Linked DNA regions of Drosophila melanogaster. The protein of the gene in region 1 interacts with the protein of each later gene in a pairwise test. Each region holds a gene or a part of one and is shown on either strand. Other genes may lie near its edges. The genes, in order: CG18094, RecQ4, Df31 and sick.

The links.
Region 2: the proteins of CG18094 (region 1) and RecQ4 interact in a two-hybrid assay, tested with the Drosophila melanogaster proteins (one large-scale study listed by BioGRID).
Region 3: the proteins of CG18094 (region 1) and Df31 interact in a two-hybrid assay, tested with the Drosophila melanogaster proteins (one large-scale study listed by BioGRID).
Region 4: the proteins of CG18094 (region 1) and sick interact in a two-hybrid assay, tested with the Drosophila melanogaster proteins (one large-scale study listed by BioGRID).

The regions. Positions count from the first base shown.
Region 1 is NT_033779.5:19,487,870-19,493,408, reverse strand, and holds CG18094 (uncharacterized protein), read right to left. Parts: upstream 3,148-5,539; 5' UTR 2,924-3,147; coding exon 2,837-2,923; intron 2,776-2,836; coding exon 1,780-2,775; 3' UTR 1,734-1,779; downstream 1-1,733. Other genes in the region: Ctu2 (cytosolic thiouridylase subunit 2), read left to right, coding at 516-1,733; CG10194 (uncharacterized protein), read left to right, coding at 3,338-3,430, 3,490-3,704, 3,767-4,109, 4,197-4,601; CG13083 (uncharacterized protein), read right to left, coding at 4,878-4,974, 5,032-5,539.
Region 2 is NT_037436.4:8,169,317-8,178,889, forward strand, and holds RecQ4 (RecQ4 helicase), read right to left. Parts: upstream 6,663-9,573; 5' UTR 6,541-6,662; coding exon 6,439-6,540; intron 6,386-6,438; coding exon 3,216-6,385; intron 3,153-3,215; coding exon 2,412-3,152; intron 2,350-2,411; coding exon 2,174-2,349; intron 2,115-2,173; coding exon 1,798-2,114; intron 1,737-1,797; coding exon 1,503-1,736; 3' UTR 1,324-1,502; downstream 1-1,323. Other genes in the region: Nmt (N-myristoyl transferase), read right to left, coding at 7,110-8,323, 8,807-9,011; mthl7 (methuselah-like 7), read right to left, coding at 9,360-9,558.
Region 3 is NT_033779.5:21,624,665-21,632,407, reverse strand, and holds Df31 (decondensation factor 31), read left to right. Parts: upstream 1-2,475; 5' UTR 2,476-2,715; coding exon 2,716-2,741; intron 2,742-3,431; exon of another isoform or gene 3,432-3,757; intron 3,758-3,821; exon of another isoform or gene 3,822-3,946; intron 3,947-4,198; coding exon 4,199-4,566; intron 4,567-4,650; coding exon 4,651-4,808; 3' UTR 4,809-6,099; downstream 6,100-7,743.
Region 4 is NT_033779.5:19,823,186-19,830,187, reverse strand, and holds the start of sick (sickie), read right to left. Parts: upstream 3,715-7,002; 5' UTR 2,915-3,714; coding exon 1,310-2,914; intron 1-1,309.

The DNA.
Region 1 (5,539 bases):
TCAACACAAACTCCAAAGACACATACCTCAATGCTTAAATTTAACTTATTATTAAGATTTGTACAACAAATTGTGGTTTGAACAGCTATTTTTATATTTTTCACTGCACTTTTCCTGTTGCAAGGTTGCTTTTGACGAGTCTAGGCTGCGTAGTCGATATATTGCCAGGTATATCGATAGCCTTCGATAACGGAATGCCCTCGAAACAGTGTTGACAGCTATAGACTATACCGTAGCTAAAGGTAATATATGAGTTTAAAATATAAGTTAAAGGTTTACGCTTTTTTAAATTATATTGGATATATTATATTCGATATTATATTATAAGAAAGCGCTAGCTTGCCGTCTAATTTTGACACTAAATATAGATAATCTATATAGATAGATTATAGATAGAAGACATTTGTCTAGAATTCCGCTATTTTGTATCCATTCATTTCACAACGTATTCATCCCTGGTCATTTCGTTTATCTGCGAAATTCTTTTTGTTGTGGATTAGACGTAAATTATTGCCATGTGCAGCATTGGTGAAGATGATTTTGGAGACGAGGGTGCCGCCCACGCCATGGTAGTGGAATCCCTACCATTAGGAATCGTCCTCAGTCCAGGGAATTGCAGCAAATGCGATGTAAACTCCGGCGAGCTCTACAAACTCAACTTCCGAACTGCGGAGTGCCGGGAATGCTTTCTAGCGTATGCGAGGCACAAGTTTCGGGCAGCTCTGGGAGCCGCCAAGATTCTGCCCAGAAACGCCGAGGTGCTTCTTGTCCTGGACGGGTCCGCAGAGTCGCTCGTTCTGCTCGACATGTTGCACTTCGCGCAAACACAGAACACGTTTAAAAGACTCCATTGCAACGCACGTGTGGTCTACGTGGAGGAGCAGCAAGTGCAAGGTCGCGATCCTGTGGACTTGGAAGCTCTGCAGAGATTATCAACACAATACGCACCCTTCGATTTCTATGTGATTGAACTGGGCGCCTTGCCCAGCTCCTTGCAGCGGATCAAGGATTATAGTCCTTTCCTCAACGCAAACAATGAGCTTATCCACAAGCTTCAAAAACTGCGAAGTCTGACAGCTCGCCAGGATTACCTCCAGCAACAGCGCAAGAACCTCATCTGCTCCGTGGCTCAGTGTCTGCAATGTACTCACGTCTTTGAATCTAATATAAGTGTTGACTTAGCCACCCAGCTGCTGACTGCAATAGCGCTAGGTCGTGGCGGTAGTGCCGCCTTGGATGTGGCTCTCCTCGACGATCGGCTGTCTGGAGATGTTAAGCTGCTGCGACCTCTCAAGGACCTAACTGAGCAGGAGATTCAATTTTACATACATGCACAGCGTCTAAAGCCACATTTTCAAAAAGGCTCACGTTATGGGATGGAGCATGGTGAGACTGCCAGCTTACAGAACCTTACATCAGCCTTTGTGGCCAATCTGCAGCAAAACTTCGCCTCCACAGTATCCACAGTGTTCCGAACTGGCGACAAAATAGCTGTCAATTCCAATCCAGAGCAGTCCTCTTGTGTTCACTGTCGATCTACACTGGACTCCGAACTATCCGACACTCTGCTGGCTATTGAGTACTCCAGATCTGTTTCAGAGGCCGGCGTGAGCCTGTACAAAAGCGGACAAGATCTCGAGGGCTTGGCCAAGAAGCGATTGGAGAACAAGGACGGTTTGTGCCACGCATGCCGCGCCATACAGACCGAGTTGGATAGTGGTAACTTGTTGTAGCGCAAGAGGAAATATATATATTTTCTATTAAAACTATATTCTTTTACTACAACTTGGCTAGCTTGTTATTGACAAGAGGCTGCAGTGGCAGATGCCCATCGCAGGGCGGTATATTGGAGGCCAGTACGACCTTGTGGAAGTCGTAGACGATATAGCGATTGTATTGCTTGGACTTTCGATGAAGGTCGTCCACCGATCCCGACAAGATAATTGTTTGTGTACAAGCGCCTGGTTCTTTGGGATAGAGCTCATCACCAGGAAGAACTCCAAACATGCAGTCATCGCAGCGATAGTAGACGGGCTGCACCATTGTGCTTCCATTGCAGCTCCTTTGGCGGGAGAAGTTGAGAAGCTCCTGAAAGCTATAGAAGTTCATCAGACGAGCGATGTCATAGAGCAGCATGAACGGGAGCCAAATAATGGCTTTCTGTGAGCTCGACCAAGCCTCGATCGGACTCAACCAGTGGGCCGAAGCCACCTCGTGCGGTTCCAGAAGCAGCTTTATATTCCTGGTGTACTTATCTAACATGGTGATATAATAAACAGTGTCATATTTCCGATTGGCAGTGGCTGCTGTCCTCCAAATGGACCATTCCTGAAGAGACCAGATATTGGGAATGACTTTATAATGCCGAAAGAGTTCCAGAAACTGTGAGGCATCATTGTGAACCCGATGTTGCCATTCGAAGTGTTCGCTTGACTCGAGAAGCACGGTTCTAGGATGACCCGATTTAGAATCCCATTTTTGTATGTCGTCCTGTTCTGTGCAAATCAAGATGCCCACCTCTTCAAAGGTTTCCCTGAGCGCAGTCAGTCGCAGTGCAATGTCCCTTGAAATATGGTCTCCACCGGATAGAAACTCAGGCCTTGGAGAATCCTGATTGTGCCTACACATTTTTAATTGTTCATCGGTCACCCCAAAGGATTTGAAAAAAGTTATCCATTTCGCAGATTGATCTTCTATAGGATCGAAGACGCCGCCAGGAAAGACGCAATGGTTCAATGCATAGGAAGTTTTTTCAGTTCGTTTAATCAACAATAACTTTAATAAAAGACAATCAGTCAGCAAACGTTTAGAGCTTATAATCTTATACTTAACATACTCTGTAGTCGTAGTCCTCTAAAGAATCCTCTTTGGCGGCTACAATAAGGCTAGCCGAAGGTCTATAAGTTCCAGTTTTAGTAGTCATTATAGTCAATAATCCATTTAATTTCCAAATCCACTTTTTCAAACCTTTGATCTTTGGTCTCAAAGCAATAAGAGCTTGTTGTTAATGCTTTAACGCATTAGTCAAAAGACTCGACCCTCGGATACCTCTGACATTAGGTGAGGGAATGAATTAAAATCCTATATTTCATTGACTTCAGTGATAGAATGTGAAATTTAAATAAGTACTCACATTAATAAATAAACCTAGAAATATTTTATTGGCTTAATAAAATAATTTACTTAAATTAATTTCAGAAGTTCTTTTAATTATAAACTACCCCACCCCACCATCTGACTACAACAGGTGGTGGGTATTTCAAAAGTGTAAACAAAATCAGCTGGTGAGCAATCGATATTACCACCCACTCTATCGATATCGCTGTGTTACCTAAATATGTCGAGGCTTTTGCCCAAAATTCGCTCCTCCTCAAGTTTAATCCTTCTGGCTAAGAACCAAGTTGAAAAGTCCACGTCGTGTGATTACAATGTGAGTTGCAGCTTAACGTTAACTTAGCTTCACCATTCTGACGTAATCTATTCGTCTAGGCCCTCCTCCTTACACGCACGCAGAAGTCCACTTTCATGCCGGAGTCATCCGTGTTTCCTGGCGGAGTTTGCGATGCCTCGGACAGTTCGCCTGCCTGGTTGGAACACTTTCAGAGAAACGAGTTCAGTGCCGCTAAGCTGCGGAACGTGGGCCACGTGAAGGGTCCACGTCCGGATATTTTCCACACCAAGGCAGATAAGAAATCGCTGGATCCGTATGCAACTCAAATAGGTTTTTAGGAAATTGGTGATGTAACATTATTTTCGCACCTAACAGATCCCTAGCTCTGCGGCTGACTGCCATACGAGAAACCTTCGAGGAGTTGGGTATCCTGCTGTGCAGGGACAGCAAATCATTGACCTCCACTAGCGATTATGGAGCGTTCTATGACCAGTTTGACCGCGCCCACTGGCAGCACATCGTCCACAACAATGCCAGCCAGTTCCTGGAGCTCTGCAAGCAGCTGGATGTGCTTCCAGATGTCTGGTCACTTCACGAGTGGTCTGTCTGGCGCACGCCGTCCACGTTTAAGAAGCGCTTCGAGACGGCCTTCTTTATGACTGCCCTGGAACAGGAACCCAGGGTTCACATCGAACCTAATGAGGTCAAGGATTCTGCGGTAGGTGGGTGGGATATTATACGGCACAAGAGCGATACGCGAAACCTTTAAGTTGCATTTAATGTACTATCATTTATATTATTGTAGTGGCGTTCCCCATTGGACTACCTTCAAGCGAGCCTAAGAAAAGAACTCTGGCTGCCGCCTCCACAATTCTATGAACTTTCGCGCTGCCTAAACTTCTCCTCTTTAGATAACCTGCGTCAGTTTGCAGCAGAGCGTGAGGTCAAAGGCATTCAGCTGATTCATCCTGTAGTGCACAAGTGTACAAATGGATTAGTGCATCTCTTGCCAGGAGATGATGCTTACCCCGCCGATCCGGATGCAAGTAACGAAAAAATTGAGATCGATTTGTCAGTCGAGGAATTCCGTTCGAAGACGAATGCTAAATTACATCGATCGGAGCACTGGAACCAGCATCAGTCGCAGCTGATAATTAAGTTTGAGCGGGATGATGGTCAGGTTCATCCATTGGATCCAACAAAATTATAGAGGTAGAGCCGGTTTCCTCTATGTCAGGTGCATTTATCTAGTTTTATAAGTTTTCCAACAATTGATATATAAAGTTGGACATAACACTTTTTAGCAATATACAACTTATAAAGTTCGATTTCCTCCATTTACTCTTGTTTATTACATTGTGTTACAGAACGGTTTAATATACAATTATATAAGATAGATAGAATCGACATGCTGGGATTTGATATAGGAAATCAAGCAATTTCTGAATATGGCATAAAACATCTATCTTCAGTTTTCGTATTAATGCTACTGGCCCTTTCCATACCAAAGTTTGTATAGGTATTCAGCCTCTTCTTGGGATGCATAGACGTTCTCGTATCCTTGATTGCCCTCTGGTTTTGGCCTTAAAATGAAAAGAGTGGTTTTAGTGTGCACCCAGAAGTAGGGCATACAAACTTACTTGTAAATTGGTGCGTGTTCCGGGTGAGTCCAGATCTCGTGGGGCTTCTGGTGTGACGGATTTTTGTGCTTGCAGCCATCCAGCGTCCTTTCAATGTTCTTCTGATTGTTCAGTAGGGCAGCCAGTTTATGATCGACCTGTGAGGTGGCCACCTGCACTCCATGGACAGTGTGCTCGATGCTGTTGAGGCTCTCGGACTGAGTGCGGTTGAGAATGACCAGACCCCACTCCAATTGATTGACTTTGCGATTGGCACGATCTGCCAGAGCCTTAAGTTCGCCCAGATATCCCACTTGACCCACGATGTTGCGCTGCTGCTCCTGGAGGACCTTCGCTTTATTGTCCAAGCCGATGAGTTCCCCTATGACGGCCTGTGATAGCAGCTGCTGAATCTCCGACAGATGCGAGTTGACGGATGAGGCCACTTCATTTAGGTTCTGCTCGTATTTGTTCTGATTGGCAGCCACTTGTTCCAGGGCTTTCCTGATTTCTAGCTCCACTTTGGTAA
Region 2 (9,573 bases), on another chromosome or scaffold:
GATGATGATGCCGATAGACAGCGCTTTGGGGGAAATTTCATGCAGAAAATGGCATGAGTAAAACGAGAGGAGATCACATTGCCCAGATACTAGAGTACTTATGAAGGAGCACGGCCAAATGCCAGTGGATGCATAACGAGGTGCGAACAGGGTCAGCTCTGGTAGCCTTTAGCCATAGCCGTAGTTGAACTCAATCGAACGGTTGGTCGGTTGGCCAACAGAATGTGGCCTAAAGCAGGTACGTAAATTGTCAGCAAAGTGCTAAAGTTGGCTAGTGAGCGAGGGGAAATAGTGTTTCGATATATGATAGCAATGTAAAGATCTTCTATGCTTTCAACATAAACTGTTGTCGTTGAAGAATTCTCAACATTAGCAATCATAATACAAAATCGAAGTCTATATATTCCTTGTAAAGCAAGCCCATCTCAAGGTATTTTCTTTGGAATGTCAGCAATTGTTTAATATTCAGCATACGCCATGTTGTCCGTTGCATCAGCTAGCTGGCCAGTCAAGTTGCTCGTTGCTTTTAGTTTTTCCTTTATTTTTTATTATTTCCTATCTCGTTGCTTGCATTGTGGTATTTGCCTGCTACCATTTCAATTGATTTTCGCTTTTATGCCTCGAAATTGGAGTAAAATTGGAGGCAAGGTCAGCTTGCTGCTCGATGGCTTCGCTGGCCATCTGCACAATGTGGATGATCATGGAGCGAGGATGATGACGTTGACGTCTCACTCTCAGAACAAACAAGTTGTAATTGGGTCGACTTTTGTGTACTCGAGTCTCGTTTATGATTATAAACAACATCGGCACGAGAAGCCAAAGGCCTCACAAAATGGCCAAGTCATAAAAAACCTTTATCAAACGCTTCGCTGATCCGACAACTTCAATGATGTTTCTCTGTTTCCAGTTGTCTGTGCCCTGAGTTGTTGTTAGATCCCCCCATTTGTTGGGTTGTTTGCTTCGCGTTCGTGTGAACTGAGGAAGGACGACCTTTGGCTAGGCTTCGATTTGAAGATGACACCTTCGACCGGGGTTATACATTTCGTGATGTTATTGGGAATGACTCAGCCGGATGTTTGTTTCTTTACGGGCTCCATCGAATTGATTTCTGCTGTTTCATTTGAAGCCGTAGCTGCAATTTGCCTCTAAACGAGCTTGGCATTTGTTTACTTTATTTTAGTGCTCTGTTGTTTTCGGCAATGAAATTATCATAAATTGTTATTGTTCCATTGGCGTGGGATTGTATGGTGCAAATTTATTAGCTAATGAAACACATAGATTTAGAGAGTTTAAAAACCAAGCTAAAAATTTAGATTGTCCGTACGAATTTCTCTTTCCACTCATAATAAGTACAAAAGCTGTTTATATAGAATTTGTAATTTATTTTTGTATTATCAGACTTGTGCGAGTAAAATGTTATTGAATGGCATCACATATTTTTAAAATTCTTGGAGCTATTAATTGGTTAACCATGGTATCGGCGGTTCATCCCGACATTACGGTCACGTACGCCTCTTGATAATAGCCATATTGGCCAGGTGCAGGATGCGATTGAAATCCACTTTGACGTGGGCACGCCAGAACTTACAGCGTCCCCAGATGACAGCCGGATAGTTCGGGCTCATGATGCCATGAAAGATGCGCGCAATATTACGTCCGGTAAATGTATTGTCCGGGTACATGTTTATTAGAGCATGAACGTCGTCTATGATGTTCTCATCCGGCACGTTACTTGGCTAATGGACAGAGAGGAAAGCAATAAAAGTAAGAAATTGAAATGTGTTGCCAAGCAATTACCTCTATTTCCAGCTCCAGATCCTGTGGGTAGTCATTGGCAAAGTAGTTGCGCACGATAGCCTTTAGCTGCTCGCCCCGATCCTGCGGAAAATCCGCATTGCAGCACTGGCCACAAGAGCTGTAGGCCACAGCAGCCAATCCATGGGCCACATATTGCAGCTGGATGAGCTGCGTACGCTCCTGTTTCACGGATCGCGTATAGAGAGTGTCCAGAGCGTTGTCGATCTCTGATTCGGTAAAATCGCCCGGCACCTTGATGCGGAATCCCAAATCATAGAAGCTCACCGTGATGGGCGATCGCTTGGGATATCCATTTACTATCGAAAAATTAATTTCTAATTAAACGGATCCTTTTTTGAACGGATTACCATCTCACCTTTTACCCACTCCAGATCCTTCAGTTGGTATTTGACCACACCACTGTTCCAGCCAATTCCTGCCGCGATATCTGTGACCGAGAATTCTATGATGTTAGAGTCCTCCTTGAATGTCTTATCTCTAATCTGCAAAGCAATAGCCATGGCCAATGGTGGACATTCCTTTGCAGCATGCCTGTGCAAGGAAAAACCAATAACATTAAACACATACACAATACACGTGTCTAAAGGACTTACTTCAAGTACTTTGGCCCACCATACGAGATTACCTTAGCCATCACATATGCTGAGCTGAGCACACTGATGCACCATCGGGGATCAAGCTCCATGTAGCAGAGCAAAGTAGATATGTTCTCCGCCGGGATGTCCAGCATCTCAACGGTTTTCTCCACGGAAAAGCCAATCTCGTGTCCCGGACACATATGCACTCTAGGACCATCACCTTCAAGGGGAATCGGAAGAGCTGTCCTCTTGGAAGCCTCCTTGTCACAGCTACATGGCACAAAGATCTTTTGCAGCAGCTTACGGATAACATGCCGATCAATGGAGTTAGAATACACATGGCGACGCAGCTCACTCTGGTCGCCACCCTTCGCATCCAAGAAGAGGTGACAGTGGGAAGGCAACCCGTCGCGTCCTGCTCGACCAATTTCCTGCACATAGCTCTCAAAGTTTCTTGGCATATTATAATGGATTACCGCGCGTATGTCCGGCTTATTGATGCCCATACCAAAGGCAATGGTGGCCACCACAATGCGCAGCTCATTGCTCATGAAGGCCTTCTGAACGGTTCGTCGCCTGGAAGCGGGCATTCCAGCGTGATAGGGCTCAGCCTGCCAATTCACACGTTTACGTTTTTTCGTCTGATCCTGAGTTGGCTCCCTACGGTCTTGCACGCACGTTCTAATAAACCCAGCGATACGCTCACACTCGTCACGACGCGTACAATAGATAATAATGGACTGGCAGGGCTCGAAGCTAGAATGATCAAAATGTATTTAAGTCTCCTTCAAGTTTCAAAGATGGTGGGCCAAGTCTTACCGTTCGCTATTGAGCAGTTGGAGCAGAGCTGCATCCCGGTTCTCATCCTTGGAGACGGACAGCACTAGATTGTCAGGCAGTGGGATGTCGCTTATAATACCACGTTCTCCATCCGATATGCCAAGGTGATTTATAATGCTAACACGCGTTGGCAAAGTTGCCGTGGCTGTTAGCCCCAGCACTGTGCGTACACCGAGATTCTTTCTCAGCACCTTGCAGATCATTAGGTAGCTGGGTCGAAAGTTGTGACTCCACTGAGACACGCAATGCGCCTCATCAATACAAGCGAATGCAATGGGCGGCAGCTGGCGAAGAATGGCTCCAAATCCTGTGGCTCGTTCCCCGGCGACAACCGCCTCCGGAGAGACAAGAAGAATGTCAATCTCCCCATTGGCAATCATCTGCTGAATCTTCATACGCTGCGGCGCGGTCTGATTAGTGTGCAGGCAGTGAGCTCGCAGAAAGTGCGGCACCCCGGTCACCTGATCCTCCATAAGTGACACCAATGGTGAGATGACTAGGGTAATAGCTCCCACTTTCCGGCTATACAAATAGGCGGGCAATTGGTAGCACAAAGATTTGCCGCTGCCCGTGCTAAGTGTAACTAGCGATGATAGTCCAGAGAGAGTGCGCATGATGGCGCGATCTTGACCTTTCCTGAAGTTGGTGTGCCCGAACATGTGGAGTGCCTCTAGGACCTCTGGCGTCGTGTCCTGGACACTGCCATCCGGAAGGAGATCGTATAGGGGCTTCACCCCACCGTGCTGGCTGCGATTCGAACTAGAGGCTGTGGTGTCCAGTCCAGCCTGCTTGAGGAACTCCTCGGGAATCTTGTGGCCGACGTATGTCTTAATAGGTGAAGCTGCTTTCTCTTGCGAAACCGGTTGGCTTAGGGAAGCTTCGACGGCCGCATCTAGGGCCTCGAAATCAACGTCCATTTCATCGCTAGACCAATTTGGATCTGGATGCTGCTGTACCTCCTCATCTCCGCTGCTTTCTTGGTCATCTTCCTCTGACTCGTTCAACTCATCGCCTTGCAGGATGGCTGCATTGGCCGCTTGGGGCAGCCGTGAGATGTTGCGACTGTGTGCCACCACTGCTCCCTGACTGGCCATCTCCTGAGCCTCGGCAAGCGTGGGAAACGGCGAGGGATCCTCTTCCAGCTGTGCCGAAAGTGGCAACAAGCTGTCTCCCTTCACCTTGCACTGCTGAGCGAAATGCCCGACTCCGCCGCACTGGAAGCACGTGAGCACTCCGCCATCACAGCCACCCATATCCATGTCCGGCCCACTCAAGGCAGCCACTCGTTTCTTATGCCGCCACTGTTGCTTCTTGTACTTGCTGAAGTTCACGGACTTTTTGCCACGCACGAATTTTTTCTTTTGAATATTTATGGTCACAAAGTTCTCGTTTAATTTACCAGCTGCTATGCGTTCCTCCAGCTTCTTTCGTGCTGCGGCTCTCTTTTCATCCACTCGAATGTTGGACCCTTCCGACAATCCTGGGTTGGGTCCAGCGGCGAAGGTTCTAATATAGCGCTGGGCGGTAGCATCCGCTTCTTCTAGATCCTGCACATTAATGCGCGGAACGGAGGTAATATCTCCCGCCTCCAAGGCCAACACGTATTTCAAATCTTCTGGATTCAATGGTTGGCGCTCATCCTCTTCTGGATCAGGAGCCGGCTCGACAGCGATGGCTTTTTTAGAGTTCCTCGGCTTTTTCTCCGCCTTGGGTTTCTTTTCGGCCTTGACTTTGGCTTTCTTTTCTGTTTTCGGTTTTGGTTCCGCTTTGGGCTTAGTGGTCTTTTGTTTTCCGGCGGCTTGCTTGCGCTTTGCCTTATCTTTCTTTTTATTCTCTGGTACATATGTAGCATCCTGGTCTTCATCTGCAGAGAAATCTGGATTCTCTTGAGCAAATGTTTCTGTCTCTGGTTCGACTTTGTTGGGAATTTCAACTGGGGCGGCTACTTCCACTTTTCCTGATGCTGTTGAAACAATTTTGCGACGTTTTGATAGTTGCCGATATTCTTGTGGTTCCTGCTCTTCTTCACTCTCAGCCACAACAGAGTCGGAATCCGAATCGGTTTCCTGCTCGGAAGGTGGAGGTTTATTTTTAGGAGCGACTGATTTTTGACTGGATGCAGGAGGTGTGTGATTAAGATGATCTGGTTTCTGGTTCATGCTAGAATTCATATCTGTTTGCAGCTCCTGTATGATTGCCATTTGATCGGGCTTGGCCTGCAACACTTTTTCCTCCTTAACAGTGGGCTTTAGTTTACTTAAATCAAGATTGGCCAGGCCAAAGTTTGTTTTCTTGGACGTACCACTGTTATTATTTGCTTCCGCAAAGGGCACTTCTTCATCAAGAGTGTTTTCCTTTGTATTTCGCCGGAGCCAGCCGTCGTCCACCAGTGTTTTGATACTTTCCTTGCTGTGCTCACTGGCCAGCATTGGATTGTTAGCTATGGCCTGCTGCTTCTCCTTGTACTCCTGGGCTTTGCGTATGAGTATGGTCTCAAAGTCGAGCAGTTCCTCGTGATGATCAGTAGGAACTGAGCTAAGTGATGTGGTGGAACTAGAGGAACTGACACAACGTGAAAGCGGCTTTCGGGGATTTCGTTTAGCAAAACCGCGTGAGGATTGGAATAACTTGGCACTCAAGCTGGGCTTAAGACTAGCGCCCGCTTTGGGTTGCTTTCCGTGCCCCGGAGCGGATTTGGAGGCCTCTACAGGCTGTGGTGGAGCTGGTGGCTTCTTACTCACATTCAAGCCCCAGGCATTTTGGTTGATTGGCAGCTCCTCCACCGCCTCGAATTTGCGAATGACATGGTTTTCATCGCGATTGACCAGATTGGTGAGTACTTGACGATTGGGCAGGTCGATGAGATTTGAGAATGAGCCCTCCACCGATTGTGGAATTTCCTCAAGATTACCAGAGCTCTGCGGCCCCACCAGTGCAGATATATCCAACGGTAGCTGAGGACCTTCATTAAGACTGACGTCCTGGTCCAGCATGCTCACACCGAAATCACTGGCCTGCGACATCTCCAGAATATCGTATCCATCTTCGCTGAGAACATCGTTCAGCGTCTCTTCCAGGAAGGATGTCTTCAGTTTGTAGTACATTTTGTATGAGTCCCGAATCTCCTGACTGGCGTCCCTTATATCATACTGCAACAGGTCAACCAGTTAGCATACTTGTCATATCCGCATCCCAATCTCACCTTCGATGGAACACGGCCATTCTTCTTCTTGAAGTCCTTCTCCCACACCTTGACGCGCAACTTGTACTTTTGGTATTTTAGCTTGAACACCGAATCGTCCATGTCGGCGGCTGTCTTTAATTGTCAATATTATGAGGAAACCAACATTGGAATCAGATTTCGTTAACTAATAAACCAACACAAGTGCAGCTGTTTTGCTTAGCGCGCGCTTTTTCACCGACCTTGCCAGACCAATGGCCATGTGACAGAGTGGCCAGACTATCACATGCTGGGACAGTGGGCAAAAATACAATAATCTGCTTAAAAAAAATAAAAACTTGTCATCTTTAAAAGAGCAGCAAAATAATTTATTGTCAATTATAGGCAATAAAGGTCCAAGTAAACGTTACATTTTTATTGATATTGCTGCGCATTTTATACAATTTGTGTTCGTTCTTGTAGTAAAAAATATCGAAGCTTGGCCGTTGCAAAATGCAATTTTCACAATGATGCTATTTAGGTGTATGCTCGCAAAGGGCTTTCCTCGCTGGAATAACTGAAGATTACAGGTAATAGCTACGTAAATAGGAGCAAAGCAAAGCAGCCGCACGGCACTTCCAGCAGGGTGAAGAAAGCGGAGGAGGGGAGCTGTGAAAGGCAGGGCGAGAATGTGAGCTTAGGTGACAAGGTGACTACATGAGTATCAGAGCAATCTCCTCCGGCTGCATCGATGGACAGCGCCAATTGTAGAGGTAGTACTGCAGGTTTCCATCCCCGGCGCCGAATTTTAGCGGTGCAAAGTACTTCTTGTTCTCCATGAGGTCGAGGGCATTGTACACGTCCATCTGGACATTGCGGGCCGAGATCAGTGCATCGTTCATCAGGTCCAGCCACGGGGTCTTTGTAGACACATTATAGAACGAATATGCGGCACGAACCGTCTTATGCACCGGATGGTGCATCACGGACGATGGCAGGCAGTAGTAGCTAGTCAGATCAGTGATGTTGCCCTTTTCGTCGGCAACCACGAAGCAATCGATAATACCTTCTTTGGGGGTAAACCAATGACGAAACTCTTCCTTGCTGAACACCGGGCTCAGCTGAAAGCGCTTTAGGTAGTCCTCCAGCAGCTTGTGGGCCTTGTCCATGTCCTTCGCTGTGATTCGGCGATAGCCCTTCGTCTTGGGCTGATCGGGTAGCTTGTACAGCTTCATTGTCCGCTGCATGGTCATGTTACGTGCGAGATGAGAGAAACGCACGTCTACCAGCTTCTTGGGATTGAGCGATCGATGCCAATAGCGACAGGTGGCCACTGGCGTGGGCAACACAACTCCAGCTGTATAGGCCGCCTGGAAAATCCCCGTCAGATTGACGCGACGCGTTATCTCCCGAATCAGGACTGGAGCCACCCGTTTGCTGCGCAACTTCTTGTGGACGCATAGGAAGTTGATGTCCACAACCTTTAGCACCTTGTCGTACGACTTCAGCTTGCTGGGAATGGCTGAGATGAAGCCAACCAGTTTGCCGGACTTCTCCACACGAACGCCAACATGCCAATCGCGTTTCCAGCCAGGTGGCTGCAGCGACCACTTTAGAAACTCGGGTTGGTAATCGAAACGGAACATGGCATCATCGTCCTCCACATAGTTCTCATTGAGCAGCGTGTACAGCTCCTTGAGATCATTGGCGTCGTTCAGGTCTAGTGTCACCCATTTGAAGCCGCCTGGCAGAGTGTATGGCAATGCTCTAATCTCACTAATTTCCTTGTTCGGTTCAATGCATTCGTTGGTGGTCACCTGCTCGTCCAGCTTGGTGACTGGCTGTGTGGACCAAAATGCAAACTTCTTGGCCATCTGACGGGTGCTGGCCATAGCATCGGAAACGGCTTGTAGCAAGGCCTGTTTGCCTGAAAGAAACGATGATGCGTTGAATAGTATTATAACATTTTTCGATTAGTTTAAACTGGAATGACTAATCTGCCCCAAAAAAAGCTTAAGGCATCACGACAGTGGACTAGTTTCCCATGACAACAAATTTGCCCAATTTTGGGGTTTCAATGAAGCATCAATCAATGGAATCAACAAGGTAGAAATCTTATATTACACATATTTTATTCGTAATAAAAAACTCAATTGTATCTATGTAAGTATATTCATATTTCATCAAAATCAAATATGTATTTATGATTTATGAGTTGTTTATTTTTCCGTTAGGGCTAATCTTTGGAGTAATTGCACAGAAAATGAAAATTGAAAATTGAATTGAAATGAATAGCACAGCAGTTCAAGTTAGAGAGGTTGGACTGTAGTTCCCGACAAAACCTAACCTCATTTTTTCAGCCGCAGGAGGAGCCTCTAAATGACTTTTCACAGGCATATTGAAAACTTACTTGCATTCGCAGACACTGAAGCCTCATTCTTGGCACCATCAGGCTGCTCCGCATCCTCGTTTCCTGCTGCATTCGTCGATGCCGTGTCCTGGATATTTAAGCCGGCAACAACCTTTTCGAGCATTGCCTCCGATGCGTCGGCCACCTCCTTGGCCTTCTGCTTTAGCTCTTGACCCGAGAGGTCCTCTGCGTTTTCGTTCGGCATATTTTGCACTGTATTTCTTTTTGAACAGTAAAGCAAATTAAAATTGCAATGAAATCGCAAAACTACAAGCAGAGCAGCTGATTTTTTTGGCGATACCTATCGATGTTTTTTAAAGAATCGAAAGTGGCTGGAGAATCAGTGTTACCAGAGGGTGGCGAAGTGAAAAGCTTGTCGCGGTGACCTCTTGGCAGTTTAAAGTACATCGTTTTCTAAAACTATATTTATTTATTGAGTTCAATAAAATTCAATTCAATTCCTTCGTTCAGCAAAGGATATTAATAAAATGAGGGGCTTTAATTGTTTAAAGCTTTAATTGTAAACAATTATTAGAATTATATAGAAACAAGCTTAAGAATCCATCATTAGAGTCCATGTGCTGCGCTTCAGGACGAGCAGAACGAACAAAACAATTCCAAACGCGCTGTGAAAATACTCGGATATTATCCCGACCCATTCCCAGAAAATGTGGAGCCGTGCAGAATACGGAATGACATTGAATATCCAAGTAAGGCCCATCACGATGGAGAGCCGCAGGAACTGTAGGTAACTATGTGGATAATAC
Region 3 (7,743 bases), 2.1 Mb from region 1:
ATTCAGAATATTACCGGAAGAGCATAAAGTTAATTAAATCTCATTAAGGTCTCCCGCCAATAGGCAACCACTGACCGATGAAGAAAACGTCATGAATGCAGCTGACCTTAAAATGAGTGCAGCTGCTATTTGACAGCGCCTGTGTGAGTGTGTCGGGGTGGACTGCACTATGGGAAACCTAACCACTTTTTCTGGCCAAAATTAATAACTTCAGAACGGAGAAATTTATTAGGAAAAAATTCGACAAAATTTAAAAATTGTTCAAAAGTGTGGACGTGGCCGGTTTCGCGGCTTTAAAAATGCTTATGTATGGCAATTTATATTTTTATCGAATTTTGGGTTGAACATTTTTTTTGCTTTTGCCACTCACTTACTCATAATGCAAGCCACACTGATTAAATGCCTTACAGAATGTAAATAACGCTTCAGAAAAAAATTGGTTAATTTTTCATAGTAGAGTTCTGTTGCATTTATTGATGTCCACTAAACATAGTATACAAACATGAGTAAGAGATATTTACGTTATACTTTTTATACATTAGTAAGTAATTTGGGGACCAAAGAATTTTATTCAGAATAAAAAAAAGGCATTTCCAAGTCTATTTTTCTAAATGTTATTTTTTAAATACCACAAATTATGAATTTAGTAAATAGATCCGTTGATTTTTTTCCTTAAAAAAATCTACTGATTTCAAATCAAAGCCCGCCTCAACGATGTAAAAAAACTAGTAACGATGACACCTTTACTGCTCTGAAATCATCTTTTGTGATGAAAATATAATTTTGTTCTGTTCAAGAATATAGGTATCTTCATTGATATGTACGTGCTTATCTACGTATATAATTCTTTGCTGCGAACTTAGACATTAGAGCATAACTGATTTGAATTCAATCTTTTTTGTGCGTTCAAGGGGATTTCAAAATGGTTGAGAATATTAACCTTAGACCAGTAGTGCCCAATTTCCTGCGTCGCGGAAAAATCTGTTTTCTTTAATTATTGGTCGATATATCGCCTTAGAATATCGTGTCGAAAGTTTCAAAAGCTAATTCTCGAAATTTTGGGAGATGCCCTTCGGATTTCGGAAGTCATACTTTCCTTGACGGCAATCTTTAAACCATGTTTGGTTCTATATGAAGTAAAGACTTTTCAATACAAACGAATGCCTCGTTCCTATAATTATATTTTAGAAACAAGAAACAACCCCAAAGCAAGGCTAAATGGAATAAACCCAAAATTTTACAGACGATGAAATCGAAAACCCGAAACAAATCACCCACCTGTAAAGCAAACATCCGTTGTCCAATTTTATTAAATCAGCATGTTTTCACGTTCCAAGCCGACACTCACAAGCTCGAAAGCAAAAGTTTGAATTTCAATAAATAAAATCTTAAAAATCTAATAGCGCTTGTATCCAAGAGCGAATGCACTTCACTCCAAAAGCCAAAGACACTAGATTATTCTAGTGTCTTTGCAAAAGCCCATTAAAATTTTACAGCCCAAAGTCCATATTAAAAAAGCTCGAGACCGAGGATTGATCGTCAATCAATATAGATCAATAAGTGGAGTTTAGCATGAGACCTAAAATTAAATGTTGACTTATGAAAATTGAAAACTTGTAATTATATGTATGTATAATAGCGTCTATGTTCTTCGGCAATGGAATCTCAGTCCTAGTGTATTGTTTTCCTTGCCAATAGCCTAAAATATTGTAAAATTTTAGTGAAGCAGAAAATTTACCAGCTGCCTGGTAGCGCACTCTAATTCTTTTTTCTATTATACCGATCAAGGGACGCAGACAAGGCCACTATACATATGTATGTATGTACGTACTTATGCGTGCATATCTGACTACCTGAAAATGTTTTCAGAGGGGTGAGGATTATTTCCGTCGGTTTTATGTGTTTGATTACATACATATGACATATCTTTAAGATATTATTTTTAAGATCTTGTAGACTGTGTAATTTACAAGGAAATTGATTGATGTAATTTAATAAAAAGCTTGAATTTTTTAAAAATGACGATATGTGTATATATATATATATGAACATACATGTTTGTGTGTTTGTTTATTTAATTTTTAGGAGTACCGGATCAAAAAAAAAACTTAGAATTGGGAAGGTGTATTACACGAAAAATCACTCAGGTCAATGAGAAAAACAAGGATAGGAATGCATTTGAATATTTTACCTGCTATATTTGTGTAGCCGCTAAATAATAGTTAAAAGGTGGCAGCCCTTTTTAGGGGACCGTTATTTTGAAATATTTGTCACTGCTATATTTCATCTCTTTAATATATTAAAATAAAATTGTAAAAATCTATCAGCATAAGCTAACTCCGAATTAAATAGAGAACGGGTGATAACGATAACAAACAAAGATATGTTTTCCGGAGGCGGAACTATCGCAAGCGGACTACCGACGTCTACCAACACTACAGGGCGGCGCTTTAAAAGCCGGTCCGACGCTCACCGCTCTCTCATTCGGCGTTTTTCTTTGTGACTGTGTGGACGTTCTTAATTGTACGGCAAAATCTCCAGCAACCAAGCTACTTTCTTAGCAAAGCTACTAAAGAGGAAACTATATTGATAAAATTTCGTTCTTTTAAAATCTTTGTGCTGATATTTAAGGCGTGCTTGGTGATCCAAAAACCCTCAGTTACAACGTGTTTTCTCGCTTCGCGTTTGAAAAGTAATATCTAACAGTAATTCAAAATGGCTGATGTGGCTGAGCAAAAGAAGTGAGTACTTTGCTTGCCTTGTTTTCGGACGTTTGTGGATTTTGTTTAAGCAATGGACTTGTAGCGAATTTTGCTAATGAAAATCTATGTTATTTGCCGAAAAGATTTGGAAATTTTCTTTTGAATTCTGTGTCTATATACGCAAACCGCTTGTTGGCACTAATGTAGTTGTCTCGTTCCCGCCAAAGGCAAAACGGTGTGCGCGCAAAAACCGACGCCGTTTAATTTGGCGCGGCGTCATGGTGCCTTCTCGCTCTTTCTCCGGCCGGCAAACAGCAACGATGAATTATTTGTGTGTGTGTGTGTAGCGGCGGAGTAATGCGTTGAGTGTATGCGGACGACAGGCCAAATGCGCAAAAGTCTATAGACATGTGTGTGTGTATGCGTGTGCAGCATTCAAGTTGCCGCTCTTTTCTTGTGCTGTTTCATTTCATCTGTCTGTGCTACCTCGTATGTTGCTTTGCTGCGTTTCTCACCAGACATCAAATTTCGAGGCTTGCCTTTTATACCCATTTGATAGCTTAAAGCTCGAAGCTTGAAATTAACAGTATAAATTTTCACGCATATCTATATTGGCATTACCAAAAATACTCCCTCTTTCCCTATCGATGAACACTTATGTATATATTTTTTTTAAGTAGTTATTATATGTTGCAGCTTATAATACATAACAAAACAAAACTCATGCCTAAGGCTGTTCCGGTTTTCTTTGAAAGACGCAGGTTGTATGACGTTATGCTACTGTTTGTATCGTTTGGACCGTTATTTTTGTCGTTTAGCGTTGCTACTTTGCAACTCTCTTTTTGTTCGCCCTATAGAATTCTATCTACCTCAGATGGCGAGTATCTGTTGGTAGATGAGTGCGAGAGAAACGACTATATTGTCATTAATCCCATTAAAACTGGTTTTTATTTCTATCTTTGTTCGTTTTAGTTTAAACGGGTCTCGCTTTTCATTTTGCACGTCTGCAAGCGTGTTTTTGGTTCTACCCTGTTCTCATCTGTTGGTAGAGAGCACTGAAATAACAAATGAATATATGCCATTTATATGAAAAAGAGCGTGCCGCCTAATCGCACTCACCTTTTCGCGCTTCCTTTTGCGTCGCAGCTTGCACGAGTTGTTGATCCCATTTTTGAAAAACGCCGGCAGATGTAACAATGCACTTTTTTTTTAGTTTTAATTCCGAACGTCCTGGGGCTCTTATGAATAGAAAGTGGAGGATGAAAACATAAACGTTACCTACCGGCGCTATATTGAAATTTTTCTTTTTTTTTTTTAAATTCAATTAATATTTAATTAATTAATAATTAATAGTTTTAGTTTTTGATAATTTTTAATTGATTTACTGTTTAGAGTTTTGTATGTAGTAGAATGCTATGCATACGAAGTTCAGTTCGGCCACCTTCGGAAAAAATTATAAGTGCATACTGACTTTCGTCTCTGATTATCACCCACAGTGAGACCCCTGTTGTCGAGAAGGTCGCAGCTGAGGAAGTTGATGCTGTGAAGAAAGATGCAGTTGCCGCCGAGGAGGTAGCAGCTGAGAAGGCGAGCATCACAGAAAACGGTGGCGCCGAAGAGGAGAGCGTAGCCAAGGAGAACGGAGCCGCCGACAGCAGCGCGACCGAGCCCACCGACGCAGTCGATGGTGAAAAGGCGTCTGAGCCCACTGTTTCTTTTGCCGCCGATAAGGATGAGAAGAAGGACGAGGATAAAAAAGAGGATTCCGCTGCCGATGGGGAGGACACCAAAAAAGAGAGCAGCGAAGCTGTTCTACCTGCTGTCGAGAATGGCTCCGAGGAGGTCACCAACGGTGACTCAACAGGTATGATGATATCAATGATATCAATGCCAAACAAATTTTCCACGTTCATGTTCTTATTGTTCAATTTTTATTATCGCCTTACAGATGCTCCCGCCATTGAGGCTGTAAAGCGGAAGGTGGATGAGGCTGCAGCCAAGGCAGATGAGGCCGTCGCCACGCCGGAGAAAAAGGCTAAGCTTGATGAGGCCAGCACAAAGGATGAGGTTCAGAATGGGGCCGAGGCTAGCGAAGTGGCCGCCTAAGGGAATCGCCCGCGGAGCAGCAAACTCAGTAATCTACTTATTAAATACTTACTAACACAAAAAAAGCAAATCACAGAAATTACGGTTCTACCGCCAGGAACCCGGACTGTATCCATTTTCCGCTCTTGTGAGCGGGTGATACGTGGGTGGCTGCTTGGGTGGCGGGCGCAATTCTCCAATAACAATCCGGCAATGGGAGCGTAGTTTTATAGCGTACCGGTTCTCTCTCTCTCTACTAACAAACAACCTACCAACCAACAATACCGGCAACAAACGAAAACAAAAAATCCATTATTATTTAAAAACTTACTTAAAATCTTAACTTTAAAGCAAAGTATATATATATATAAAGCGAAGGATTAAGAGAACAATATTAAGCGAAATTAAGATGCGAGACCCTCTATGTTTTAAGAATAAAAGTTGTAAACAAAAGCGTCAAATTTAATAATTGTAAAAAAAAATACGAAGCGAATGAAACAAATTGCAAACAAAATCTTTAAGTAAGAAAAACATCAAAACAATTACGGCAAAATAACATATGTAATCCTTTACAATTTTTAATTTTACAACCGTATCTTATTTTTGAGTATGAATATTTATATCGAACAAAGTAAAACTAAAAATTCAGTAAAATGTAACAAAAAGCTGCCAGCAACAACCCCAGAAAAATGTATGCCAACCGGCTAAAAAAATACTACCACATAGAAACAATAAAAAGTACGAAAAACAACTTTTACAGCAATACTCTGAAATGTTTATTTTTAAAATGCTTTCGAAATCGTACCTTTTTTATTTGTAATCAAGGTACCACCTATTTCACATTCCCAATTACATTTTATTTACTTGTCTAAGCCTACGAAATAGTCTGCGACGAAACTCTCATTAATGTTCAATGTTTAACAACGATTTAATGGGCAGGAAAGGTAATGGCCAGTAAATCCAGCATTCAGCAAAATCAAGATTCGAGATTATTAAAAAATAAAATGAAACGTAAAAATTAAAATCAAACTGTAAGCGTAACTTTTATTAATTTGAGCATGTTTGTATTCGCACAAATAACAGCTGTCGCCAATAGTAGAAATTATTATTTTCTTGGTAGGGTGCGGTCCAAGTACATATTAGTGGAAAGTAAACTATTTTAGGTAATATGATTTCGACACAGAACGTTACAAATAGTATTACTATTTTGCCTACGGTAAGTTGTTTTTTTTTTTGTATTTTTGGACTTTCGTTTAATTTTAATCAGAAAATTTAATATTTGATAATCTCTTGACTCATGACATTATATCCCATATATTTACGTCAATTAAGAAGCCTGTAAAACAAACACGGCAAATCTACAGTTCACACTTTAGCTAAAATTACATGAAGAATAAACTCCGCAAAATTTTATTTCATTTCATTTATTTCACGCTTAATGACATCCAATTTTTTTTTATTTTAACCTTAACAATAATAAGAGTACAGGCCAATAATTAAACCTTATCTACTTAGATATTAATATCAATATGAATAATATGATAATGAAAATATTATACCGATTGGGAAAAAAATTTTATGTAATTGAAAAAAAATCTAAGCACTTAAAAAAGGCTATTATCTAAAAATTACAATTAAGGTGGATAGGTCAAATCATTTATATGCTGGTGCACAGCCTCTTGACATTTAATAGAGAAATTTTGGGACAATCTTATTAATCTATTATAAACCACTTCAATATTGGCTCGGTTATGTAAATGAGCTGTTGAGTGATGCCAAGGGTGATTAAAGATTAGTTTTAATATTTTGTTTTGTCTGATTTGTAGCAGGTTAATGTGACATTTGGCCATTTCTGACCATACTGGAGCACCGTAAAAAGATAGTGCTTGGAAGATTGACCTGAACAGAACATTTTGTTTTCAATGTTTTATCTGGAATTTATGTTTATAAATGGATAAAGCGAGCAGATAATGGCTTTAAGTTGTTCGATTGTGTCACTTATGTGATCTTTGAATTTTAGCCTATTGTCTAACGTGATAGATACCCAAGTATTTGACAGTTGTTTCCCAGTTGTTTCTGCAAAATTAATTTCGATAAATCTCTGGGAAGTGTTCCATCTTCCAATCCTTCTGGATACCAATTTATACTAGTCTTTACCCTATTTTACCCTTTATCCGTAGACAAGATTATTTGAAAAGATTTTATCAGGTAACGTTTTTTTTTTTATTTTTTGTCAGAATCAATAGTCTAGCCAAAAAAAATAAATGCCAAAAATCTTTATCAAAGGTGTGGGCGCGCGATTTTTTGTCGGCTTGTAGGAGTGGAAATCTTTTTAAACATGATTGATTTTATTCATAAGTTTGCAACGCAGGTAAGAAAATATTTACGTACTCATATTATTAAGCATGTATTTTATAAGATATTTTGTCGGCCGTATGAACGTCGAGATTTCAGGAACTATAAAAGCTGCGTTGAGATTAAGCATACAGATTCTAGAGACACAGACGCAGCGCAAGTTTGGTTTGTCTTGCCAATTTCTAGACTATAGCATTCTCTGTTGTTTTTATGTTCAATTTATTTTCCTTCGCAGAGCATATTGTCATGCCCACAGTTTCGACATTTTTTTGGGGTCTTTTTATTTCACTGCTTGTTTTGTTAATTTCTATCAGTAATGCTGCGTTAATCGTAGCAAATCGTGGCCAAATCTTTTGATTTCGTTTTTAAGTCTGCTCTGGTTTTTGCAAAATGTTTGCTATTGGAATGTTTTGTAAACAGAAAACAGCTATTTAACTGTTTTCCAAACAATAGAGCAGCCACCTTCCTTACAGTTTTAATTCCGTTGTTCGCAATTACTTTTTTACTGGACATTGTCCATTTATGTAATTAAATTAAATAGCATTATTTACGATCAGCACGTTTGTCCCTCCTTTAAATTTATTAATGAATTCTTTTATAT
Region 4 (7,002 bases), 340 kb from region 1:
CCTTGTTTTTTTTTTTTTGGGGGGGAGCATGCCTCAAAGCAAAAATGTACAGCGCGTATTTCAATTTGCAAATGATGGGAAATGCCTGTGGCACGGAAAATTGGGAAGGGCGAATAGCTTATGTGGGCCAGTAGGGGTGTAAGTACACACACTTTCAACTCGGCACCATGGCAACAATTTTAATTCAATTCCATTAAAAGTCGCTAAGATTGAACATACATTCGCAGCTGGTGTGTGTTTTTGTTGTTTCCTTCTGGGTTTTGCTTTTCTCTTCTCTTGCAACCTGTCCCTCACTTGGGCACACAATCAAACTAATGTTTGGCGGTAGGGAAAACTAATGAAGCGAGCAGTGAAAACGCGACGATTGATTGCTCCCCCGAGGCAACGAGGAAAACAAGAGCGAAGAGCGAAGGGCGGGGGAAAATGGGAAAGCCAGATGCAATCCAGCAGGAACTGCTCTCAAAAGCCCTCGATTTTGGGAATCATCTGCAGTGCACTGCCTCCAAACTGCAATTCCGTGACTCGTTCTTCTCTTTTTTTGATAATTTATACTCGAGGACTCGGCCGTTGGGGGTGACATTTGTTCATCGCCTTTGCGGGTGGGTTTTTCCGAAAATGGTCCTTCGAGGGGTAAGCCAACACCTCCCCTGGGGTGTTTGAAGATGCATAATAAGACTTGTTAAGTTGCTCGCTCGTTAAGATAAGTGAGCCGGCAAATGGCGACAAGTGCGACTACGGAAACAGCCCGCAATGATTACCGGCTTAAGATATGCGAAATTATCCATATAGATAAGATGCTGCGTGGGGTTCCTTCCAATGGTTAATGCGGCGATTCACATTACGGTAAGAGGATTATGTAGGAAATGTATGAAACCTAGCCACATGCACTGCAATATTGAGAGGGTCATAAGAGCTTCACCAAAATAAGCCATTTGCTGGTGAGCCCCACCGAGCTGAACATTATTGTGGCACTTTTCGGGCTGCATCTTAGCATTAAAACCCAGATTTGCATAGGTAATAATAAAGTTCCCTTTTGTCAGGACAAGCCATCAAAGCTAACAAAGATAAATGATTTGTATTTTTTGGGAAAAGGTTTTCTTTCTTCTTGAAAGTCTTCGAAAAATGTCTGGATAAAAATTGAATTTTACTTTGTAAGCTGAAGCACAAAAGTTCTGTTTAAAATAAGAAGTGGTTTAGGTTTTCGGTTTTTTTCTCCATTAACCTAACAGATGCTTCTATTAAGCTTCTTCTTTTTGTATGTCATGGTGATATTTTATATATTTATATCATTAAATATTCACAGACTTACCTCCATATATCCCTGAACACTGTCGCACTGCTGAAGCACCAAAATGGCCGGATTCGCACGCATTTCTTCGGGGGAGCAGGGCGATAGGAAACCACTATCCGCATCGCTGTGGGTTGATAGAGGTCGTGGTTTGCGTATCTTGTACTGGACATGTCGACTAGGCACTGGGCCCGGGTTGAAGAGCACATAGTTGGACTCCGTTGGAACCGTGTGCGAACGCTGATCCTTTCGCTGTTGCTGCAACAACTGTTGCAGGTGCAACATGTGATCCGTGCTGACCAGCTCGGAAATGGCACGTTGCTGCTCAGAAGTATTTTTGTCGATAGACTTTTTGCCACTGCGAAAGGGCGAAAGATTCAGAAATGTCAGCTTTTTCTTCATCGATTGCTGGGCGGGATTGGCCAGGGAACAGCTGCCCGCGGAACTTGCTGAGTTCGTTGAGGTGGATGATTCTACGAGGGCCGTGGATGTGGTCTCCGTATCTTTGGACTCCTGGCTGTTCGACATGCTGGCAGTGTTCTCCAGTTCGTTGAAGAGCTTCTCCAGGTTCTGTTGCTCCAACTTGGCATTCACCAGCTGCTCGTTGGTATAGGGATTAGGTATGCCGATGTCCATGGGAAAGTTCGCTGGGTCTATAATAAAGTAGTTGTGGTGATCAAAACTAGACATGGTCTCTGAATTTTTGGCAGTCGGTTCTGCTTCTGATTCCGCTTCTGGCATAGCTGAAGTCTCTATGATAATAGTCTCCTCCAACTCGAGCTCCTCGTTATCGTATATTACTTCTGGCACCAGTTCATCTTCATCCTCGCAGACCAAGTGCTGTCTTGAGCTGAAAAGGGGATCCCTCAATCCGTGGGCTTGAGTACTGGGATATCTCATGGCTTTCTCGTTGATAAAGTCCACGGGATCAAAGAGACAGTAGTTCTCCATGTGCGAGGTGGCAGCCTTGCGCTGTCTCACTGGTAGATTCCTTAGCTTTTCGGAGTAATCCGCCACATCTTCATTATTATTGGCTGATTCTGGAGCTGGAGGAGGCGGGGATATCTCCTGACTGATGGGCCTTTCCTCCTGCTGCTGCAGCGACTTCTGTGAGCCCCTATGAAGGGTGGCAAACAGGCCACGAGCTATGCAGTTCTTCAGCTCACTCACACGTCCTTTGTAGGGACTCGACTGGGCACTGCTGCTCAGGATCGAGGATTCGTCGATTCCCAGCTGCTTGCTGAGCTCCTTGCGCTCCTTCTTGCTGAGCACCACCTTGCCACGACTGGGCGTATTGGGGGCCGAGTGGAGCAGCCTCGATGGCATTTGGGAGAGGGGCGGTGGTGTGGGAGGCAGCGGATCCCTGTACGGTGGTGGACCCACCAAACAGGTGGCATAGCTAACTGGTAAGTCCGGATAGGCCGTACTCTGCGCCGATGCCGTGGGATCCGTGGCAAGGAACTCCAGTTCCATGTAGTTGGGATGTGGCAACATCTTCGGTTGATTCTGATGATGATTGTCCGTTCTTTGGCTCTTGGGCTTGGCGCCCAGTTGGTTCTCCTCATTCGCATTGCGATCGGGCTTGGTTGAGGAACCCGGACGCAGTTTTCCTGCCTGACTGGACATTTCTAGGGTTTCACTGCAGCTTCCATGGGCTCAGCACTTTTCACTCACACACTCACTCACAAATTTTGTATACATTTTTTCGCCGCTTGGGCCAAATTAATGGCTTTATAAATCTTCATCTTTATGGAGGGCAAAAACGCGTTAATGGGTTTTCTAGTCTTTCGACCAAAAAAAATAAGGTCCTTTTTCCATGTCCTCTCTCTCTCTCTCTCTACTATCTCTGTTTACATTTGTGTTTGTAATTGGATTTTTTAGCTGATGCATGTCAAAGTTAAATTAAAACTGACCCAGCTGGTCGGGGGAAAAAAAAGAGTTATACGTTTCTAGGTTGTTTTTGCGGGCAAAGAGTCATAGTCATGGTCATGGTTACGCCGTGGTTTCGTCTGCTTTTGAAGTGTTCCAGAATGCCGCCGAAACAATGCCAAAGTCGAGCTTTTTATAATTTGTCTACAAAGCAATTAACAGGAAGCCAACGCTGCAGGGATTGCGATAAATGGTGAACAATAATACAATTAAAGTACTGCACATGCGGTTTTAACTTGAATTTGTGCATTGAAGCCGCAGAGGTGGATACATATATATTTGCAACTTAAATGCTTTAAATTGAAAAAACCGAAAAGCATTCACATACATTTTTCTTCAGCTTCCGGCAAACAGCACAGGTATTATTTTGTTCGTGCAATTTTCGAATAAAAGCGATTGTGCGATAGAAGCTGGAAGGGAAATTCAATACGAAAATGCATATCAAGTGCTCGCTAGAGTTTCACATTTGATTAAGTTTCATTTCTCCTTCAGTTTCCCCCCGGTCGCAAAAATGCAGACATAACGGAGATATCAATAACAAATTGACAGCAAATGGATCCATGAATTTATTAAGTGGAAAGCGAAGTGAACAAAGGAATGGTTCATCACTCACGTACAGGTATCTTTTCCATTACACTTGCTGAGATTCGTAGAGTAAATGTGAGTAATCCAAATAGATATAACAAATAATGAACAATGCCAAAGAACAGCATGTTCGCCAAATCGAGATTATCCCAGCATTGTTTCCACTCGGAAAACCAGCAATGAACTTTTAATTTCCTTTATTTCAGCCCACTCACAAAACAAAACTATGACGAACATTTTTCGCCAGGCCAACGTGGCAACAACTGAGAGGAAACCGAAATGGAAAAAGTTTTATTGGCAACAAATTGAAAACCGCCTGGCCATTTGAGTCAGTGAACCAACAAGTTGCATAATTGTTGGCGCATGATAGAATTAAACGCCTCGCAATGAGCCGATGTTCCAATGGCTCCTCTTCTTCTTCCTCTTCATCCTGCTACTTCCGTTTCCGGAAATGGCAGGCTGCAGGTGGCAGAGGCGAAAGAAGTTACTCCAGTTAAGTGGAGTTTCTCTGCCGGTGTCTGTGCCTGCGTCCCATAAAGTATACTGAAAGTAATTTGCAATTAAAATGTTAATTTTTAATTGAATTGCAGATGGCAGTAGGCAATGGCAGTAGTCTCGAATACTGAATCAAGTTAATTAGTGTCAAAGTAGGCAGCTGAAAAGGGGAGGGCTGTTGGGCAGCACTCAAGCCCAAGGTTGATTTATCCAGATTAGCAAAGTATGCTAATGAAATGGTGATAAATGCAAATAATATAAAATTCCAGTTTGACTTACTTCCCAGATTAAATGCAATTGGTAATCCATCTTCTAGGAACAACACAGTTTTTCTTTACATCACCATTACGATTGTAGTTAAAGAAGCAGAAATGTTAAAATCTATTCTACAAATGTGCTCTAATCAGTTGAATCTATACTTTTATAACTGGGCAGTACACGTATTAAATGTTTAACTCCTATAAGGCCACACAATCCTTGTCTGCGTCCATTCCCCTGGGCTTAAAATCCCCCTGAAAGCCACGTGGATAGTGGCTCTCTACTCCAGCATCACCTAATCCCTGACACTTTCAGTTTCCATGACGATTCCGTGAAATGGGGACGAAATGGGGGCAAAAAGGAAAAAAATGAAAGGACCCCGAAGAGAAAGGCAGAAGGCAGGACTTAAAGTTAAACACTTTTGCTTTGAGGTTGAAGTTGCTCGCACTTCATCTGCCTTTGCTTCCAGCTGGCAGCAGTCAAAGTTGACAAAATACTTGTCAAGATTTGCGCATTGAGTTGAGTCCTCCTCTTCCAACTTGTAATTGCAGTTTTGCCGTGGTCTCTTTCAGCTCTGCAGCTCTGAAAAAAAGAACAGATTTCCACCCACTGGGAAAACCCGACGTTTTGCCGGAGGCCATCAAGCCGCAAACTTTACGAGTTGATAGCTGAAATAAAGTGGAGCATGCATTCCGTGCCTTTTAGCCCGCCCACCCACTTCATGACATCATTTTATTTGCACTCAATCTGAGTTCTTTTAGCGCCGCTTTCTGCGCCCAACACGCTGTGCAAACTTCGCTGGCAAGTTGGTTAGAAATGCTTTTGATTTGCTAGTGAGTTGACCAGAATCCCAGCCCCTCGACTCGCTTTCCACACAAAAGCCCACTTTTGAAAAGTGCACGCTTTTCTTTCCATCCTTCAGTTGCTCTTATTGCACCAAAAAGCCCAACCAGAACCCAAAACGTTATTCAAACAAAGAAGAGAAGTATAAGTATGCTGAGGTTTGCCAGAAAAAACTCATAAGTACGCCTTTTGTGTGACTTCTAGATACTCTATCCACTAGATTTCATTTGAAAATTGCATCAAAACAAATATATTTGGCGAAAATTCTAACAAACATTGAGAGAATTTTAAAGGGTAGGTATAAATTCATATAATTCAGTAAATTCTTGGCCAAACTCCATATGGAAATTTTAAATTACAGGGCATAAATAAAGTGCAAAGGCCGTACCGAAAAAAGTAAAAAGGGAATAAAAAGAGCCAACTACAATGCGTATGACAGTTTGAAACACTTCTAAGGACTTTTGAGTTGCGCCGCAAGTTGGGGCGTGGTAGGCGTGGCAAAGGACCACAAAAACAACGCACAACTTCCGCTCCAGCTTGAGGGCACAAAAAAATATGTATAAAACTAAATCAGAATCTATGTGCAATTCAATTAAAGCGCAATTTGCAGGCAGTCATCATATTTTCGTTACTTAACGAGCCAGTTGGTGGATAATGAAGAGCGCGAAGGGTGTGGGGCAATTTAATAAGACCCATCGGGTGGGGCAAAACGGAAATCGCTTGAGGAAATTGTGTGTTTCAAGCAAAAGCATACATAATAAACTCATATAAAAGATTGTTGCACACTTCGGGGAGCAACTGGAAGCGGAAAGCAGGAGCGGAGGTATAAATACCCGTATTTGCAATCCGAAGAAGTGGAAGTGGATGGAAAGAGTCGGAAGAGGGATTCTGGAGACAGGCGAATGTATCCCTAGGCGGACAACGGCGAACACGAGGAAAAGCGGAAAAGCAGCGGGGACCGCGTCGAATGTTATTAAAAAAAGGAAAGCAGAGCAACGCTAAAACAGCAAACCCCCCCTGCCGCCCTCCACCCACTCATTTTCCCTCCTCCCGGCGAAAAAAGTCATAAAATTTATTAAATGCCTAAAAGTATGACAGCAATAGACAATTTATGGTGGGGAAAACCAAAGGAAACGAAAAAAAAAAAACAAACTAACCGAGGAAATGAAAACAAGATTTTTCTTTGGCTTCGTACACCCTTAGAAATTCAGTAGACATTAGCGGAATTTTAATGACCTTGCGTTAATTCAAGCAAAAATTATAAATATTTATCAAGGGCATATTTATAAGCATCAGCTGCTATCGAAATAGGATGGAAAAATATTAATATTTATAGTAGGACTACCAGCGAGCATTGGCATGACTTTTAATTTCAAAGTGTTGAGTACTGGAATTTAACTAAAAGGAATTACTGAAGCAATGTCAATATTATTCGATTTTATGAATAAAAGGTAGTTATAGGGATCACACAAGAACATAATGGAATCATTTCCGTATGGCACCAAGATGGACAAAGCTAGTTCCAAAACGACAATACTCAACATTTGATAGGTGTGTGCGATGCGATGGTGTCTCCATTAGTGAAATGGCCACCACCTACCCTC